Linked DNA regions of Neodiprion lecontei. The protein of the gene in region 1 purifies or fractionates together with the protein of each later gene. This does not show direct contact. Links are inferred from orthologs where the notes say so. Each region holds a gene or a part of one and is shown in the gene's direction. Other genes may lie near its edges.

The links. Proteins that work in one complex are often made in the same cells at the same time.
Region 2: the proteins of pescadillo homolog (region 1) and nucleolar complex protein 3 homolog purify together in Homo sapiens (affinity purification with mass spectrometry; 3 studies listed by BioGRID and IntAct, counting the BioPlex papers as one, with this or other methods). This does not show direct contact. The link is inferred for Neodiprion lecontei from reciprocal best matches to the Homo sapiens genes PES1 and NOC3L.
Region 3: the proteins of pescadillo homolog (region 1) and ribosome biogenesis protein WDR12 homolog purify together in Homo sapiens (co-immunoprecipitation; 7 studies listed by BioGRID and IntAct, counting the BioPlex papers as one, with this or other methods). This does not show direct contact. The link is inferred for Neodiprion lecontei from reciprocal best matches to the Homo sapiens genes PES1 and WDR12.

What each region holds. Positions count from the first base shown.
Region 1 is NC_060262.1:23,171,512-23,179,574, reverse strand, and holds pescadillo homolog, read left to right. Parts: upstream 1-2,045; 5' UTR 2,046-2,182; coding exon 2,183-2,206; intron 2,207-2,318; coding exon 2,319-2,552; intron 2,553-2,654; coding exon 2,655-3,162; intron 3,163-4,869; coding exon 4,870-5,006; intron 5,007-5,102; coding exon 5,103-5,362; intron 5,363-5,904; coding exon 5,905-6,092; intron 6,093-6,160; exon of another isoform or gene 6,161-6,179; coding exon 6,180-6,367; intron 6,368-6,540; coding exon 6,541-6,804; 3' UTR 6,805-7,490; downstream 7,491-8,063. UniProt on the Homo sapiens protein: Component of the PeBoW complex, which is required for maturation of 28S and 5.8S ribosomal RNAs and formation of the 60S ribosome.
Region 2 is NC_060265.1:31,638,551-31,646,039, forward strand, and holds nucleolar complex protein 3 homolog, read left to right. Parts: upstream 1-1,797; 5' UTR 1,798-1,929; coding exon 1,930-1,935; exon of another isoform or gene 1,936-2,918; coding exon 2,919-3,196; exon of another isoform or gene 3,197-3,569; coding exon 3,570-3,858; intron 3,859-4,030; coding exon 4,031-4,322; intron 4,323-4,443; coding exon 4,444-4,778; intron 4,779-4,910; coding exon 4,911-5,281; intron 5,282-5,689; coding exon 5,690-5,854; intron 5,855-5,949; coding exon 5,950-6,307; intron 6,308-6,385; coding exon 6,386-6,483; intron 6,484-6,651; coding exon 6,652-6,880; 3' UTR 6,881-6,900; downstream 6,901-7,489. Other genes in the region: cell growth-regulating nucleolar protein, read right to left, coding at 73-197; ralA-binding protein 1, read right to left, coding at 7,137-7,262. UniProt on the Homo sapiens protein: May be required for adipogenesis.
Region 3 is NC_060264.1:3,892,735-3,897,528, forward strand, and holds ribosome biogenesis protein WDR12 homolog, read left to right. Parts: upstream 1-1,779; 5' UTR 1,780-1,909; coding exon 1,910-1,971; intron 1,972-2,165; coding exon 2,166-2,251; intron 2,252-2,337; coding exon 2,338-2,548; intron 2,549-2,664; coding exon 2,665-2,805; intron 2,806-2,910; coding exon 2,911-3,086; intron 3,087-3,226; coding exon 3,227-3,297; intron 3,298-3,413; coding exon 3,414-3,660; intron 3,661-3,755; coding exon 3,756-3,888; intron 3,889-3,986; coding exon 3,987-4,125; 3' UTR 4,126-4,205; downstream 4,206-4,794. Other genes in the region: WD repeat-containing protein 75, read right to left, coding at 1-103, 193-312, 554-729, 818-1,019, 1,092-1,228.

The sequences.
Region 1 (8,063 bases):
GGAAATTATGTCCATGCTCTTACGATCTTATTATCAGAACTCAGTATAAGTGAGAACTTGTGTTTTCTATCATGCTCAGTCGATTAAAACTTTGGGTATTCATAATGAACATAATGATGGACCTGATCTGTTCAGATTCGGTAATTTTTTTTTTATTTAAAAAAAAATTACATATTTCAAGAGGATGTGGTGCAAATTGTAAGACGTGACAATAAAATTTGATAAAAATAATCCTGACAAATTAACGGGTGTAAAAACTGAACAAAATTGAGGGATGATTGAGATTGAAGAATCAGGAAAACAATCGTAAAGTGAATCAAAAATCGTGAGGTAAAATCATTGGTCGAGTTGACAATGGAAAGCTCTGTATGTATATGAATTTAAAAAAAAGTAATACAAATAGTACAGCACCTACAGCACTGATTTTCTGTCTAGAGGCTGGTAAAATGGCCTGACAGCAGGTAGGAGTTATTTAGGGATTTTTAGGGGGAACCAGAGAACGCCTAGGAGGAAGTCACATGGGCCATTTGCATGGAAAGTGTTTAGTTCCCATGTGTATGTACTTCCCACAAACGATTTTGAATGGAGGTAAGACACAAGCTTCAAGATATGAAATTTGTCCACAGAGTAACTTTACTACCCTCATGGCGTGTTCCTTGTCTATCGAATTGGTCGATTACTCTGACAGGCTTCATATCAGAAAGAGGAATTAGATTACTTTTTGTCACGTAATATCAACCAAGATTGTTTGGAGAAATTCTTTGCTTTAGTCGCAGTCATGGTTGCCACAACGTGAATCCAACTTGTTGACAATTTGTTGGCACATACAAGTCCCTCCTTGTCAGTAATTTCAATTCGCATCGTTCATTGAGTGCGAACTGTGTAGACGACAAGGGAAGTATACTGCTCAATTTAGTCCACATATTGGAGGATCATAGCGATAACAACCATGACGAACCGGTAGATTGCTTAGATGATGCGCTCCACCTGCCCGATGAAAGTAATATCCAACGATAGGTCCCACAGTCCATAGTGACAAAGACTGTGTGTGATTATATAGCAGGATATGTAGCACGCAGGCTTTTGAAATTTTTGCAAGTCTGTTCAGAGTGCAAATCGACCATCCTGGCAATGGAACCTTTGCCAGATTTGCATGGAGAATTAGAAAGTAAAGTGTTTGATGAAGAGATATATGTTTTGAAGTACGTTAGCAACAATTGTTTAACTTCCTTCCAAAAATTTTATTAAATCATCCGTAGTCTGCTTCTATCGATTAGTTTTAGAAGAAATTTGTTAAAAAACCTCAAAGCAAAAGTGGATGAAAAAAATGTCTCAGGTGGCTTGGTTGCTCTGCTCATGCCTTGAAAGTAAAGAATAATTTTAAACAATTTTCCATGTCCCTAGACATCAATACATTCTGTACAGCTGTAAGTAAAATTTTAAATCATAAAGATGCAGTACTAATAAATTCTTTAGACAAGCACGGATACATCGCGAAAAACACTTCAAATCAATTTTACAGTAAAGAATACGTGTCAGTTAACAAACATTGTAAAATCTTGATAAATTCACTATCCGACTTCTTTCTCTTTGTATAAATTGTATATAATTTGTATTTCTGCATTATAATTTTATTTGTAATTTTGACTTAATTACCATTACCTGTATTTCGTTGATAACTATTGCGTTACTTGTATTTTAGATTCACTTAAGATTTTTATACTTGCACCACAAACTGACCAGAGTTTTTGCTTTCTGCTTTTAGTCCATCTTTTTAATTCAACTGTACTTTATTTGACAATAAATGAAATATTTTTAAATTCTAAGTAACTGATTAAATTTATTCAAAGCGATGATGAATACAAGTCGTTTACAAGTGGTGTCAGTTCGTCCTGAAAAAAGGATCAAACTGATCATACCACTTGTATTCTCAACCCCTATTTAAACACATTGATTCAGAGATTTGAAAACTCTGCCATTCGAAGTTTATCGTTAGTACATTGAAGCAGCGCGCAGTGTGACGCACGAATTCGGCAACAGTTTCGATACACGGGAGTCAAGCACGGGAGTAGCGAGAGATAACAAGTTGCTCGTATTGGCACGTGTGAAGTGTGTCAATACAAGAATTGGATCTTTTTTATGAGGAAATATTAACCATTGAAAACAACAGATCGTTGAGAGAATGGTCGTAATAGGAAAGAAAAAGGTAGATATATAAATCACACAAATTTAATCTCGAAAACGTACATCTTACCTCCTTTTCTAACGCTTAACATTTTTGAGGTTATTTCTCCATGCTTGTCTGATGCTTTTCACAGTACCAATCCGGTGAGGGTGCTCAGTTTTTATCACGGAGATCAGCTCTAAAGAAACTTCAGCTTTCATTGAAAGACTTTCGGAAACTATGCATATTGAAAGGAATTTATCCCCGGGAACCTCGTAACAGGAAGCGAGCCCAACATGGAGATACAAGTATTAAAACCTTATACCACAAAAAAGACATACAATTCCTCATGCACGAGCCTATAATATGGAAATTTCGAGAATTTAAGGTAAGTGAAATTATCACCCTATATACCGGGTCGCTGCATTACATGGCAAGTGTTTGAGTACTTTTTTATTTGTTTCATAATCTTGATTAATTCTTCTTACAGATATTCAACCGAAAAGTTGGCCGAGCTAAAGCAATGAAGGAATTCGGTGCTTTGAGACGGTATTTAAATAATCATCCGCAGCTGAAGCTAGATCACATTGTAAAAGAACGTTACCCAACATTCATAGATGCATTGAGAGATCTTGATGATTGTCTCACGCTATGTTTCTTGTTCAGCACATTTCCTTCTATAGCTCACGTGCCACGTGAGCACTCACTTTTATGCAGGAGATTAACCGTCGAGTTTTTGCATGCTGTTATAGCAGCTAAAGCACTTCGAAAGGTTTTCGTTTCGATCAAAGGCTTTTACTACCAAGCTGAAATCAAGGGGCAAACAATCACATGGATAGTGCCACACCACTTTTCTTTTGAACCACAGTCCAAAAATGAAGTCGACTTCAAAGTGATGTCAACGTTCGTTGAGTTTTACGTTGTTATGTTGGGTTTCGTCAACTTCAAGCTATATCATGATTTGAACATGTTTTATCCACCAAAATTCAACAGTCCAGGTAAGAATTGATAATGTAAACTAATATTTAAATAACACAAAGAAACGCATTATTTTTTATGACTGTCCTGTAACTAACAAGGAGAGGTCACTCATTAAGGAAAGTTTATTCCAATTAAACTTACCGTAACAGTGAATCAAAATTTAAGACATTAAAGTTAGTAACGTTAAAGTAATCGAATATGGGAAAATATTTTATTATTTTGCAGCCTTAGACTTGCTTTGAAGGTATTTAAGTCTACAAAACATGAGTATGTTTTGCTTCCATATGATTTAGTGAATCTCAGATACTCCTAAAATTGTGAAATACTGATTTATCATGGAAATGCATCGCCACATTAATGTTTCGAAGATCAAGCTTATTAAAATGCTGGTTCCTGCGTGACAATTCTCATACTTCTATTGTACCCATGGCGTGTTTTGAACAGTTAAACTTGTAGCACCTTTGGCCCTGTATAAAAACTATAAAACTTTCCATTGCTGCAGTTACCTTCAAACCTTTGAAATTGTTGTAGAAAAGGTACAAGTAGATCAAAATGAAACATGAATTGTGCTATGTCCACGTGTAAAGCTTAAAATCCAAATGATGAACACCAGTATAGCTTAACATTTATTGTCGTAGCACTTTCAGAATAAGAAACCATATAAATGGAATGGGAGTAAGATTCTGGGAATCGATAAAACGAGGTAAAAGCAGTGAAAGTGGCATATTTGGTAATACAGTAAAACCTCGTTTATACGTTTGCGAAGGGATATGACAATTATGATGCTTCTATGTTTGTATTAACGCACGGACAAAAATTTACTGTAGAAAGTTTAGTAGAAATGTGATAGTTTGACTTATATTAACGTATCCGTACACCGAAAGTTGTGCAAGAGTTACAATAGAAAATTGGGAAAATTTCAACAAGTATTATAACCGAAACACCAATTTTATTACACTCACTAATATGATTGCGATAGGTTTTGCTTTTATTGCTGTTTATCCTCAAACTATCGTATTTCGATTGTAGCATCTATGTGATAAAATTTATTCCATGTTTTTTTATCGATTAGAAATTCCTACAATAGGCGCATAGAATATTAAAACGCAAGTTTGTAATGAGAGATTAGTTGTAATTAATGTTCGGGTGAAGGGAAAAGAGTGCTCTATACCGGAATAAATGATACATAGGTGTGAAAAATATCAAAATGAATTACTTATGAGTGAAATTTTACATGTGGTCTGCAAGCAAAAACTACCGGGACTGAAGGAATTTAATGCACAAGTGAAATGACATACAAGTGAGAAACGTATAAACGAGGTTTCAAAGAAATGCAGGATAGTAGAATTCATAACCCTGGTGAATAAACTATTATTATATAAACAAGGTTCGTCGTTCGGTGTCTTAGTATTTTTATGTGTCCCTTAAAAGTCATGAACAATTGCTTTTATCCAACTGTTCGGTTTCATCATCTTGAGGATACTATCCATGTTAAAAAAATTATCAATAAGCATTGCAGCCAATTTGCCTGAGGGTGCTTTTATAATGTTCTCGATCTTAAAAAGTAATGGAGAATTAATTTGAGATCTTTTGTTTGAAGTACATGATAGAAAATTGTAGTTTTGCTTAGCATCATGCGCTCTTGAGCACTTCGTTTGTTATGGTGACCCATAATTCTGGCATAAGTATTTGAATTCAACGATTAATTACTGATTTTTTCAAAGGAAGTACCGATACGAAATTAGTGGATGAAGAAGTATATGTGTCTGAAAGAATTGCTGCACTGAACTCGCCATTGTCCAGTGTTAACAATGCGACTCCAGCACCAGAAGAAGAGCTGGATACGGATCAATTTCCGACAGTTCGTTTCTTTATTATACATCTGTGAAGTAAATGAATACGTACTTACACACGGACTGCAGTTATTAAATCATCTCTGATTCAAAACTTGTTTTAGGAAGCTGACCCTTCTCAACTTGAATTATCAAGAATTGAAGTAGAAAAAGTAAAGAAACTAAAAACCCTATTCAAAGGTTTAAAATTCTTTGTGAACAGAGAAGTCCCCAGAGAACCCCTTGTATTTGTATTGAGGTGTTTTGGAGGAGAAGTATCCTGGGATAAAATGCTATTCGTAGGTTCCACCTTTGATGAAAGTAATGAAAGTATTACGCATCAAATTGTGGACAGGCCAAGCATGACAAAGCAATATATCTCCAGGTAAAATTAAATAAAGTTCGTCAGAAAGATAACACGCTTATGAAAAAATAAAGTCAATAAAAGTTGTATACATACAATTTACATCTCTTATTTGATTGAGTTATTTGCCATGCATTTTGTCTAGTAAATTGTAACACTCTTGATAATGATACTGAGAAAATCAATGTTTTACAAATCCACGTTGCAATTGTCAGAGCTTTCAAAAAAAAAATATCCATACATACCATCATAAATTTTTCAATTGTTGATTATATGCTTGGGAAGATAGTTTAGAAATGTAGAAAGGTTTACATATGAATTTCAAGGTATTGATAAGTTCTTTAAAAAATTAGTGAATAGGTTTGTGAATTTGAAAACTAATTTTTTTGTACTAACTGGTGTGCATCTTGACTGCTACTTACACTGTCGCACTCCGTATGAGGTGTTAATCCGGCATTGAAAGTTTCGATATGCAGTGCAAATTACAGCTTAATAGGCGAAATTTACAGTAGAAATATATACAAAATAAAACATTCTATATACCAATGACAAAAAATTTTTAGGTACTACATTCAACCGCAATGGGTGTTTGATTCTGTAAATGCTAGACAACTTTTACCCGTCGAGAATTATTTGATGGGTAGTGTGCTTCCTCCGCATCTTTCACCATTTACAGACATGCTGCGAGATCAAACATATATCCCGCCCGAACAACGCGCTTTACTCGACCCAGAATTTAAAGTGAAAACAGGTAAATAAAATGAAAAATCAGAATTCTCTCAAGGCTCAGCGCATATCACAGTCATATATGGTACTTACTTGTAAACTTTTATCGAAGCTAAAGATGACAGCGAAGAATCGGAAGCAGAAGAGGAAGGAGATGATCAACCAGAGATAGAACAAGCGGAAACGATTCTTGAAGGTGAAAGTGCAGAGGCCACAGAGAATGATATCTCAGAGGAGGAACCTGAAATCACAGTAACAAAAACGAATGACAGCGAATCAGAGCAAGAGAGATTGAAAAAGGTAATGTGCAAAGGAGCGTATTAAAACTATTCCCGCGAATTTCTTTTCGCATTAAAATTGCAGTGATGTTTGAATGTATATCTCAGATGATGGTACTAGAAAATTTTCTGGGAAATTTCCTACAATGATAGGAAGGTAATTCTAGTGCAATACGAATATTGATTCTTTCGCAGAAAAAGGGAATGGTGGTGCAACAGGGTCAATTGACCAGGGAAAATCCATGGGAGAAGAATCGTATTGAGAAACAGGAATACCGTCTCAGGGAGAAAATGATAAAAAAGAAACATAGGAATTTGTACAAGAGTATGATGCAAGGAAAAGAGGACAGAGCAAAAGAGATTTGGCTACTTAGGAAAAAACGACGCATCCACGATTCTACAGAAAAAGAGAAACGTAAACAGATGCGAAAAGAGGGGAAAATTAAAAATACGGCATGAATTCGATCGGAAATATCCATACGTCTTATTGTGAAGAGAAAACGGCAATAACTACAATTATCCAAATTAGCTATTATAGTGTTACCGGAATTTAATTACATGTTCACACTTAAACTCGAACTGTATGCAGTTGTTTCATGTGTTTACATATACGTATGTGTATCGTGTGTTTAGTACATAACGATACGATATATGTATGTAATGCTTCATGATAGCTAAAATAAAGATTTTTATGAATTGCACTGTAATGATGAGAAGATTAGATCTGTCACGTGAAGCGAATCAGCCATCCCTCAAATACTTTTATGATGTTGATTCTACTTGAGGAGTTGGACTTTGCTGCGAAAGAATTGGTAAAATAATATGGATGTAATTCTATCGTAATAATAAAAGGTAAATTAATAGAGTTGCAATTTATCAGGCGTTAGAAAATTGGTGCTCGATTTTTTTAAATACGTAAACGAAATAAAAACTTTGTTGCTAATATTGCTTTTGGGCGAATACTATTCTGTTCATTATACAGTAATTTTCATTAATGCTTTGGGATTTCGGCTAACTTATTTTCCGTCCGAAAAAAAATGCAGGCTCGATTCTACACGAATTGTGTGACAATGATTCCCAATCTCTCACTTTGGCTGCATCGCCGGTCATTGTCACATAACCGAGCACGCATTTTGTTTTGGACCGAAAACAAATTAGCCGGCAGCCCAAGGCATTAATGAATATTACTGTACACAGATGATACAATAAATTTGCAAAATACAGACTGAATTCAAAATAGCGAGTTCTTCATTCGTTTGTTTAAGAATTCTTTTATAACACATGGATTTAGACGCTTGAGAAATCTACACGTATTAGTTCGGTATTCAGAGTCTTACCAATTAATTTCAAAGACCCGTTTTGCTCCGCATTAAGAAGGGTCTATATTAATTACAGGATAACCCAAATTTCAGTGGCACCTTCGTTGCTTCTCAAATCAAACTTTCCTTTACAGGTATTGGAAAAATAGCGGGCGGATGGGGGATATTCGACTCGAGTGATTATCACACTAGTATTCGTACGATGCAACATTCGTATTCGCGTGAACGTAGCACTCGCCTTCGGCTCACGCTGCAAACTTCACACTTGTCAGAAATAGCACACTTTTCAATAAGTGTGAAGTTTGCAGCATGAGCCGTCAAGGCAGCCTGAGTAATGAATATATTCAAACAACTTTACAGTTCGCACTTACTTATAATTCTCCAAAAATGCTATGAAAT
Region 2 (7,489 bases), on another chromosome or scaffold:
TATTCATATTTCTAATTGTATTCTAGTTTTTTTGTTTTATAAATCAGATAAATTCACCCAACTGGAACGTACCGAAAATCTTGGAAACAATCCATGCAACTGACTGAAATGGAATTTCTGCACTTGAATTGAAAGTGTTTTCCGACTTTAGGCTTCTTTATTGCCTCACCACAGTGAGTACACGTGAAAAATACCATTTTTATGGATAAGCACGTGCCGGAGAATCATGAATGCAAGTATTTTTTTCTCCAATTTGCTCTGTCGGGATTTGCTTCGACTGGCAACTGTTGACAGCATAAAAGTAAACTAACCTACAAGTTAAATATACCGTTTTAAAAATGAGCTATAATTGTTGGGTAAAATAAACTCAGGTCGTTGTAAATCATAGGCCTAGTGGTAGATTTACTCACTCGAATTGAGGTTAAATACTGCGTGGTAATCCAAGATGCCAAGCTTCAAGCACGAAGTGAGAGGGAAGGAGACCGAACTCCGATCCCAAAAGTGGGATCAATTTTCCAGCGATGAGTGAGCAGTTCGCTGCGAAGAATAACCGAGATGACAAGTCACGCATGCGCAGTACGATTAGCTGCGTCTTTGTATCTCTCGCGTAAAGTGCGAGTGAGACAGTTTTGTTGTTGTGACAGCAAGTTCATGAGGTTATGGTGCGTAATAATTTCTTGGCATAATGATAGAATCACAAATATCGCTTTATTATTTGCAAAAAAGAAACGTGAATACGCTGCGAAGTCAGAAATCATAGGTGCGTATTTTACGAACGTTGTTTATGGAACTTTAAGCCGTAAATAGTGGAGCATTTGAATCATTCTGGACGTTCTTACAGATATGGAGCAAGTACTTAATGAATTTAATTACACGTATTTGAGGAAAAAGCTATGTGTAAGTATTTTACCAGCACCAAGTTGGGGTTTTACACGAGGAGATCGCACATTTTTTGGTCTACAAAAGATTGAAAAGGATTGCTGTTTTACCAGATATGCACGTTGAAATATACATAGACAATAAAATTTGGCCGCTCTGAGAATGTATTATCCTTGTTAATATGGATCAGTTTATTGTTCTTCTAAACAACGTAGATAAAATGCCTTTGCCAGATCATTAGGATATTGAACAACCATTTTTTACACTCATGCTTTAAATGTAAACAATTTATCAATCATGTTCAATACGAAAATTGTAAATGGTAAATAGGAGAATCAGGATATATACAAGTTTTACATAATAGAAATTCTCAGCTACAGTGATGAGAATTAGGAGATAAGGTTAGGATGTAGAATATAAGGATTCACAAATTAGATATATACATAAAAACGATATTTCTTGCTTGTTGTTGGCAATTTCAATTTATTGTACAATCTGGTAATAAACATAAACAGAAGTATAATTTTGTTTTACCATCACTCTATGATCACGTTACGTACCGAGGGAGCTTTAAACAACGTGTGATTGTTATTTTTGTCTTTATATTTGGTTTTGCACTGCGGTACACGACACGCTGACATCTTACCGTAAAAACTAACCTCACTGTCATAACAAAACTATCTCACTCGCACTTTACGCGAGAGAGATAAGGACGCAGCTAAGTCGTACTGCGCATGCGTGACTCGTCATCTCCGTTATTCTTCGCAGCGAACTGCTCACTTTTTTATCGCTGGAAAATTGATCCCACTTTTGGGATGCGGCCTCGGCAGAGTTCGGTCTCATTCTCTCTTATTTCGTGTTCGGAATACACCCAGCATTGAATGTTGTCCCGCGGTCATCAGCGACATCAGCAGAGATCAGCCTGCTCGTGAGTTAACGATCCCGCGTCGTCCACGTGCTTTGGGTCAATTTTGAAATTCATTGACGCTGGAAGTGGTGTCTGCATAAAAGTAGCATTTACTCTTTCTGTTTGAAAACCATTGTTCTGATATGGGGGTAAGTCAAGTGAATTCAAATATATATTTGCACTATACAATTCTTCTTCACCCGATTGCACAAGGTGACATAACCTAATGGTGCAACGCGCCATACTACACATCTGCTCATTGCATCAAAAATTATATACCGTATTATGGATTCCCGGAAATTCACACTTTCGACACTTGTAGAGAATTGTGATTTCTCACATTTTAGCTTGTTCTTACGTAAATGTTCTTAAAATCAACAGTAATAACTATATTTATGTCTAAGTTAGCTTGAGATGAATTAAAACGTATTTTCCAGAGGTCTTAGAATAGTAAACAAAACCGATTCGTCATAGTACGAGTGCGCGGTATTGAAAATTAGGTACCGATTTTCATTACGGGTTTCGTATTCGGTAGTTTGGGTTAACCGAAATATCGAAATGTCGGTAGACTTTAATCTACAAATATCGTCGGAAAAAAGATTAAGAAAAATCTGTATTGAACTGTACTAAATAACTTTAGGTTATCAGAAACTTCGGTATTCCCGTACCGATACATTTCGAGGAAGGAGATACTGAAATACCGTGCACCCCTACTCCATAGTGTTATAACAAACTGAGACACATATTTTGAATTTTTATTTGCTACTTTACCCTTACTGTTTGATACAAACTTTTCGCACCGTAACATCCATACTTAACAACAGCTCTTTTTGCAATCTGGATCCCAGTGGTCAGAGAATATGCAGCATTTAATAAGTTTGAAGTTAGTAACATTATTATAAGAATGCATGTTGAGGAAAAATCGTTACTTCACACCTTTAGGATTGTTTCAAACTTAGCAAAACATAATTTAAAAAAATATACTCATGTATTGAAAAGCTCGTTGAAAGTTGTTTTAAAATTGGACAATGATGATTTTTTCCCTGATTTTTCATTACATTAATATTAGTAACTTTAGTTCCATAACATTTTAGTGCTTTTATTAATATGCATCTTCTATCATTCTTTCAAGAAAATAGCAAAGTCGAAAATCAGTAAGATAAAAAGGAACAATCAGACGAGGACTAAACTTTCTAAGCAGGGAAAATTGAAGAGCCGTAGAAACCGTAAAACTCAAAAACAGTTGCAACAGCCACCTACAACACTAGTGTCAGAAAATGTTGAAACAGAAGATGAGAGTGATCATGGTGAAGATATGCTTGGAATGGTTGAAAAAGATGACTTGGAATTTTTGAAAAAAGCCGTATCTAACCAGAGTTACAATCTTCTCAACCAAATTACATTAAACCAGTATGTAATTAATCGAAATTCATGTCTTTATATACAATCTTGTGATAAAAACTTGGGTCAGTATTATGGAGTATTAAAAATAAAACGCAATCTCCGTTGGGGATTGAATGGAAAGAAATTCCTGCTAACAAAATTTCTATAATGGAGAAAGATCTTGGGTGATTTCAACATCACCTATTCAGTCAGAAAATTGAAACCATATTGATGTCAGATGATTCATTTTCTCTTTAACAGTCTGTAATTACAATATACTACCATCTTGACATTTTGTTAAATTTAATCTTAATTCATCTCAAAATATATCCAAATTGAAGGAGTCACCCAGCTTGCTCGTACCCTAAACCAAGTCACTTTCTGCATTGTCTTAATCTAGATCAGAACCTGAAATCAAACGAAAACGGAAAAAATCTACAGAACTTGATGATTTAGAGGAGAAGTATGAAAATGCGACAGTCAACACCACAATTACAACCAGTCGTACACGAATGCTCCTGCCCATTAAATCTCAAAATAAATTAATTGAACGGCATATTCCAATAAGTGAAATAGAGAACTTTGATACAGACGAACAATTAAGAATTGAACAGGATCGTAAAAGTAATGGTCTACAATCTGTAGATGAAGAGGAATTGACCGACCAGGAACTAAACCTAGAATATATTGTAAGAAATTACCCAAATCTGAGAATACTGATTAGACAAAGGATAACTGTATTGACATCTATAAGCGATGTAAATCCATTGTAAAAGGGGAAAGTCTTTCAAGACCTGTGGCATATCAGAAGTATGTTTTTATGTAAAAATGCACATGGTATTAAATAACACTTTTTTTCAGGAGGAGGGAAAAATAGATGTAAGTAAACCAGTATCAATGGTAGAATTGTTGGCATGCAGAGAAGAGGTACTTCAATCACGTCGTTTCAAGATCGGAATTTTGTCAAGTGGCCTATTAGAAAATCCTGAACTGAAGGCTGGAAACTTGAAAGTACTTTTGTCACTTATGGAAGAAGAGCATCCAGAAGTTTATATTACCGTTAGGAAATTGGCAATGGTATCCTTGTTGGAAGTATTCAAGGACATTCTACCTTCCTACAGCATTAAACAAATCCCCCAAGATAAAGTTAAATGTATGATACTGATTACTGACCTAGTCCACAATTCAATTTGTCCAAAACACCACATTTTGTTAAATTATTCTATATGATGATATATCATCCTAACCGATACATATAAAATAAAATTTTTTAGTGAAACGGGAGACATTGAATTTACAAAATTATGAAGCAGTAATGTTGAAAAGCTACAAGTTGTACTTACAGAAGCTTGAAAAATTTGCTAGCATGTTGAACGGAAAGAAATTGAACATGAACAAGTTACAAAAGCAGGAAATAATATTGGGAGAAATTGCTATCACTTGTATGTCAGAGCTTTTGATCGCACATCCATATTTCAACTTCTCTGTCAATATTGCTAACCTTTTGGTTCCATACTTGGATAGTAAATGGTCAAATGTAAGGGAGATAGTGGCTAAATGTGTTACTCAGATATTCAAAGAAGATAAACGTGGCGAATTGTCTCTTGTGGTGAGAGTTTGTATGATAAAATTAATCTATCATTGAAATATAAAAAATAGATACGGAAATTTTTCTGAGTCTTGTTCAAAATTTATTAACGCTAGTACTTTGCCAGTCTTTATCTGTTTGTGCCTTTTACAGATTGTGCGTCGAATAAATCAATATATAAAAACTAGGGGTCACTCAGTTTATGTGGAATTATTGACCGTACTGTTGGTTCTGAAAATTTCTGATATAAATTTGGATAAGGGCAAAGAGGAAGAATTGAAACAGAAGAAACTCCAGATGCATAAGCAGAAATTAATTTCTATGAGTAAACGAGAACGGAAGAGAAAAAAGAAGCTAGAACAAGTTGAAAAAGAGATGATTGAGACTAAAGCGGAAGAGAATAAACAGAGCAAGCAACGGGTGTTGACCGATATAACCAGTATAGTATTTACTATTTACTTCCGCATTCTGAAGCAAATCCCAACGGGCAAAATTTTGTCTGTAACGTTACAAGGATTAGCTAAGTATGTTTTCATCCAAGCACAAATTGCTGCGTCATTTTTTCTCACAAAATAAAGTATCTTAGGGGTAGAGATAAGACATCTTTGAGCCAGTTCAAATTTGATAGGCGAAGACAGACCAAGCAGGGAGGAATATGCATACAAATACACCAACTATGTAAAGTGCTATTGCCGACTAATTTTTGGGTTGATAATAACAAAGCCTTTTACATTTGAATGCTCAAGAGGCACCAGGACCTAAGTACAGCAAGTGCATCTACATACCCCTCTAATTGGTCCCCCTTCCCAATCAGAAAGACGTGATTTATGTTCTTAAAGTGGTATAAAGAAAGAATTAGACTTTACTGCATTATTTAAACTGGGCTTGTTCAAGTGGTGTGATGCGAAAGAACATTTATTTACTTTTTGTAGGTTTGCACACAGCATTAATATAGAGTTCTATCAAGATTTAGTTAATGTTCTGAATCGATTATTGGAAGGTAATACCTTAACTTTGAGAGAGCAACTATATTGCATTGAAACTGTCTTTGTTATTTTATCTGGACAAGGGGAGGCATTGAACATTGATCCATCAAGGTAATTATGAGCTGCAAAAATAGTTCACTTGTGATCCACGCATAACAATATCAAAGGACTAAATGCGGAAAAATTATTTGATTTTTGTTTTTCAGGTTTTATTCACACCTCTATAGAAACTTACTTGGTATTCATGCGGGTAAAAATCATGCGGATTTAATAATTATTTTACGAACGCTTGGTAACATTTTGATAAAAAAACGTAAGAACATCTCACAGAATCGACTTATTGCCTTTCTGAAACGAATAAGTATTTTGGCACTACAATTAGAACACAATGGTACGCTTGGGATACTAGCTATCATCAAAATAGTGATGCAACTTGGAAAAGCCACTGACATTTTACTGGACACAGATTCCTCCATAGGAGAAGGTTTCTATGATTCGGTGCTGAATGAACCTGAATACTGCAATGCTCAACGTTCAGCTTTTTGGGAACTGGTTCCTTTACAAGTAAACTTAAAAGAAATAGCATTTTTCAGCACAAATTGGTGATTATACGTCTGTTGATTCAATACCATTCACTTTCAGAGGCACTATCATCCAATGGTGCAAAAAATGGCGAAAAATATTGCAAGAGGAGTTCCTACAAGTGGAGAGGGCAGTCTAGAGCCAGAATTTGGGAAATTGTGAGTACGAGGCATGATTCTATATGCAGAGACAATTTACTATATTTAAACAAGAACCACTTTTGATGATCCACTTTTGATGATAGTTTCAAAGTGTGCTTTCAAAACATTTTCTGATAATAATAGTAGGAATTAATTTTTTAACATATTCTTGTCCTCCATTTTAAGATCTCCAGTGGAGCTCTTTGACGAATACAAAACAACAGGGGTTATGTTCAAGCCTGCTGTTACTAAACCCAAAAAAGTAATATCGGTGAAATTTTATGGCTACAATCACCATATAACGAAACGTTACGAGGATTATTTCGAAGATATTTTCCAACATTCGCGTCAGAATGATACAGCTCCGGATTTTCATGGGTCTTTCAAATTGAAGAATTTTAAATGTATACAATAATAAATGATTTTGCACGATAATGCGACTTCTCTATAAATATTATATTAATGTATAGACATGAGGGCTGATTGTTCAATTGCCCAAGTAAAATTCACCCACTACTTGAAAACTAACTATAATATACTGATTGTTGAAGGCCTTCTAATAGCATCACAAAGGTATGTCAAAGACACATGAGAGTCAGGTCGGTTTATATTGTATGCTGGTTTAAGAAACATCTTCATAAATCAATTTATTGTCATTACCTTAGAAACCATTAAATTTTTTTTGCAGCAAGCATACAGTCTTGATCTGAAAGTTGTTGTATCAGGAACTGTGCACGTAATTCCACGCAAGCTATATTTTCTTCAATAATAGTTCTCACAAGTGTGGCCTTTTTTTTCTAAAACAATAATTAATAACATATAGACAGGTCATACTTATTTTATACGACCAAAGTATAAGGCTGCAAAATTTTAAGCTCGGGAGTAGTTTTTTGTGGATGATCCAGTCTTAAGATTCATGAAATATTGTTATAGAATTTCATACTTTTCGAAATAAATATTAAAAAGAATATAAATTTTTATTTTTATTTTCCGCTCTAGCTCATGAACAACAGTGTTCAAATGG
Region 3 (4,794 bases), on another chromosome or scaffold:
AATGTTTAACCAGACTAAAATTCGGCCACTCGAGTCCCCGGTGGCTAGACATTCTCTGTCAGGGTGCCCAGCAACAGCTGTACACCGTCTGCCCGTTTTATGTCTATGGAGAAAGTAAATGACAGAAGAGTAAAATGTGGTGAAAAAATTTAGTACCATCAGCAACTGCAAAATAATAGGCACGATACTTACAAAATCCCTTCAAAATCCTCTGCAGGATTCAATATGTGCAAATTAACATCTTCCGCAACAGCAACTAAGTGTTCACCAGCTCTCCCAACAACATCAACATAATATTCATCAGAAATGGAGCTGAAAATGTAAAAATTCTGGATATTCAGAGAGGTATGCTGAAGAAATGTATATTTCAAATTAAATTATTACATTAGCAATAAGAGATTTTAGTGCAACGGATATGTATGATACTCTGTTTTCCTTGTGGTTGAAATGAAAGAATATAAATTTTCTTTGCTCTCCCAAGCATGGTTGATTTCCAATGTACATGATGTAGTGCAGAGAAAAAAAGTGATAAGTTTCAAGTAAAATAGCGTACCCTAATTTAGTTCGTAGAGCGATTTTGCCGTTCTCTACACCAAACAATTTCACATGAATTTTCCTTTCGATAAGATAGGTGACCAGCGCTTGGGTAACGTTACTTCCATCACTTGTCCGATATCTGACAATATGAAATGTCCTAATTTTTGCATCACGATCATCAACTTGAAGATTCTGCGAATTGTTTCAGAAAATTGTTAATCCATGATGAGCCGGTATTAAGAGAACAAAAACTGATTGAGAATTTTTCTGGAACACATACTGTTTTTTTTATTATCAGACCCTTGTAGCAGTTCCAATATATCAGTTCACCGACGTCTGAGCAAGCTAAAACTACATCTCTGTTGTCAGGGTGCGAAGATATTCCTGCGATCTTGTGTTCAATTCCTTCAAATTCTCTGACCAGATCTCCGGTCCTAGTGCTGTAGGCTCTAATTGAATGCTTCCAAACGACAAATAATAACCTAAAGAATTAAATTTGAGGTTAGATAATCATCCATCAAAGTATCAGAGGCATAGGTTTATGTTTGACTTACTCTCCATCATGGGAAAATAACGGACGGTGATCGATTATGCTTCCGCCGCCGATCCTTTTCACGGTCAAGTCATTTTCCTCCTGCGGTTTTTTCTTCGGAGTACCCGATTTCGGCCCAGTCGATCGCTTCATTCGCATGTTTGACACTGTCGTTACACTGATTGTGAGTATAAGGTTAGATTAAAGCAAGTTTCTCACACTGAATAACGGTAATCTCTTAATTTCTCCCGTAGTATTCGGTTCCTTCATTAATCCTACAATTGTTACATACATTCTTATTTAAAATTCACCACGTGCCGAACTACGTTAACCGGAATGCTAGGTTGGATTAGGCCGGAATTACACCACGGCGACATCGATGTTTGACAGAAATCCGAGTCCGTTATTGGTTGATACGCCAACGCATCGCTGCAATTTCTTGTCGCTGAAATAAAATTTCGGCTTTAAGTTGAGATAGGTTAGGTTCTTAGAGCATATACGTACTACTGGACGTAGCCGCCCATGCCGTCACATCGTGAAAATTGCAGTCGAAGTGATAAGAGAGCGAGGTATATACCCGGGCATACTGGTTATAGCCTGTCTCTCTCACTCCGCATCTGATTGGCTGAAAGGAAGCGTATCTGCCAATCAAATGTAGAGCGAGAGAGACAAGCTGTGACGAGGGTATCCTCACTCCTCCTACGCATTTTCTGTACATGATAGTTGTATGTTACAAGGTTAAGTTAGATCGAAATTGTTGGTTGACAATAGGAACGGAGCGGCTTTAACTTAATAATCATTTCATCAGTTATTTCACAGTTTCAATAGCATACCGTCGCGATGGCAAGTGTCGATGACGACGTTCCGCAAATCCAAATACGCTTCACCACGAAACAAGAACAGTGAGTATATAAAAATATGAGTATGAACACACGTTTTGCTCAGTCAGGTTTTTGATGTGAAAGCTAAACACGTGGAACAAACGGCTGTCGGCTGTACTGCAGACTCTTGTAAACTGGATATAGAAATTTGATACTTTTAAAACAATGCCAATATAAATTTCACTGTTTTGTATCTACACAAATTCGATTTTCAGGTACGCTGTTCCAGACTATCCATTGTCTGTGCCATCAACAGTTTTCACTGATCAACTGAATACTATACTCAATGAACTTTTAAGAGGTGAGATTTCCTGAACTTTGGAAAAGCTCGTATCTGTTGTAGAAATATTGTACTGCAAATCTGATTCATTAACAAATGTTATACAGAATCTGCAGACTCCACTGCAACTGTAGAGTTTGATTTTCTTGTCTGCAATGAGTTCCTGCGCACCTCGTTAGCCGAGCATATCAATGAGCGTGGAGTAACGACTGAGGAAGTCGTTTCAGTCGAGTATGTGGAGCGGCATCCTCCTCCGGAACCCCAAGACTGTCTCATACACGATGACTGGGTGTCAGCAGTTGCTGTAAGAGAGAACTGGCAAGTGTTTTCAATTTTTACATCAACGTTTTCAAAATTACAGACTTTTTGGCTAGGGAAATTTACTCACACATAACAAAGCAGTAGTAATTTGCTACTTTTTCCACCAATTACAGGATACTGACGGGATGTTACGACAATACCGTGCACATCTGGAATACGAAAGGAAAACATCACCTCACAATTCCAGGACACACATCGCCCATTAAAGCAGTGGCTTGGATAACATTAGACAATGAGAGGGCGACGTTTGTTAGGTACTATAAGCGAAGTACACAACGTTCATGTTATCGCTACAAATCTACTTGCAATAAATTAATGAGATATAATACAATAACACATTAATCTCTTGCTCCTTGCAGTGCATCGCAAGACCAAACTGCCATTTTATGGGATTGGAACATCAGAAGTAACTCAATAGAATGCGTTCAAATTTGTCGTGGACATGAACGCGGGCTGGAAGACATTGCAGTCAATCATAATGCCACACTGATCGCCACGGGATCATGGGATACAATGCTGAAGATTTGGTCCACCTGTAAGTTCGAAGAGGTGCATTCTGAACGAGAGTTATTTGATGAATTAACTTAGGGCTTTGAACTGAACAATATTTGCAACTGATCTTGTACATCTTTTTAATACGATTAATAATCACATAAATCAAACTCTTTCTTACAGCTGTCGACGATCGAAACAATGACGGTGAGTCTGCCTCAAAGAAGCTGAAAACAGATCATGGTAAAGTTAGAGTGAGTATCTGTATGGCAAATTTGATTATGTTCACTATATGATTGAGAATAAAAAATACAGTAAAACTTACCAGGCCAGTTTTTTTTTATCAACAATATAATTCGGGCAATTTCAGACGCCAGAAATAACGATGAAAGGCCACAAAGAGGCAATTAGTGGTGTAGTCTGGTCAGATAAATCTGAAATAGTAACGTCGTCATGGGATCACACGCTAAAAATTTGGGATACAGAACTTGGTGGAATCAAGCATGAAATTCCAGGGAATAAGAGCTTCTTTGATGTTGCATATTCGCCGTTAGCTAACGCTCTCCTCACCGCCTCAGCCGACAGGCATATCAGATTATACGACCCAAGATCGTCAGGTGAGGATGAAATCTATGCCACGTAGTAAAATCACTCGGATATTCATGATCGTTGATGTTTGCTAACGTTGGCATTATATTTTTTTTTTTTTCAGAGGGATCAGTGGTCAAGGGAACTTTCACTTCACACACGCAATGGGTGCAGTCTGTCTTCTGGTCAACGACTGATCAATACCTTTTTCTGTCTGGAGCATACGATAACCAGGTGAAGCTTTGGGATACTCGAAGGTTTGTGCATAAAGTCTCTACACATTCTTAGACATGATTAATAAACGTGAACTTCATTTTATGTGGTGTCGATATTACCTTTCCCATTCTTCTTACAGTCCCAAAGCACCGTTATTTGATCTTTCTGGACACGATGACAAAGTTCTCTGCTGCAACTGGTCCAATCCAAAATTCATGGTATCTGGCGGGGCCGACAACACTGTTAGGATATTCAAGTCGAAACACGCGATTGGTTGATAATGTCTAAAAATCAACATTTGTAAATTATTCAAAAAATATAAATTTTAAATAAAAACTTAAGTTGTTGGAATATGAAACTTAATTCTCGTACTTTACGTATAAAATTATTCTACTCCGCAAAGACACTGTTGCAAAAGGGTAAATAACAAGAAAAAAATTGATTTTTGTCTTTACAAAAGCGAGACAGAGACTTTTGCATAAGAGAACAATACTCTCAACTGGATAGGAAGAAGAGGAAATCGAACATTAATGAATGAAAATTCAACAAAATCCCCAAAACAGATCTTTTATTGATCAAAAATAAGGGATAATAATAATTAGGAATTTGATTTTTTCATTTGAAAAATACCAAACCATATTTTGTAAGTAACTCTAAGACTGATCGGCGCATGCTCTTTAATAAGAACATTCCACAGAGCATGCACCTGCAGTGTGCAGTTTACAGTAACAGTGTGTCTGCAGTCCGTGTTCGTGTAATAGGCAGATGATGGTTTGTTGGGAGTAAAGGCGCGCTCGTAATCTCCAATTAGGTGATAACGCACCAAACACCCACACACGCCGCACACTCTCCAATTACTTCAGCGCTCTCGTTCTCTCTCTTTCATTCTTTCTCCCTATCTGTTTTTGAAAGACCCTACCTAATCCCTCACATTATCTCACACAAAG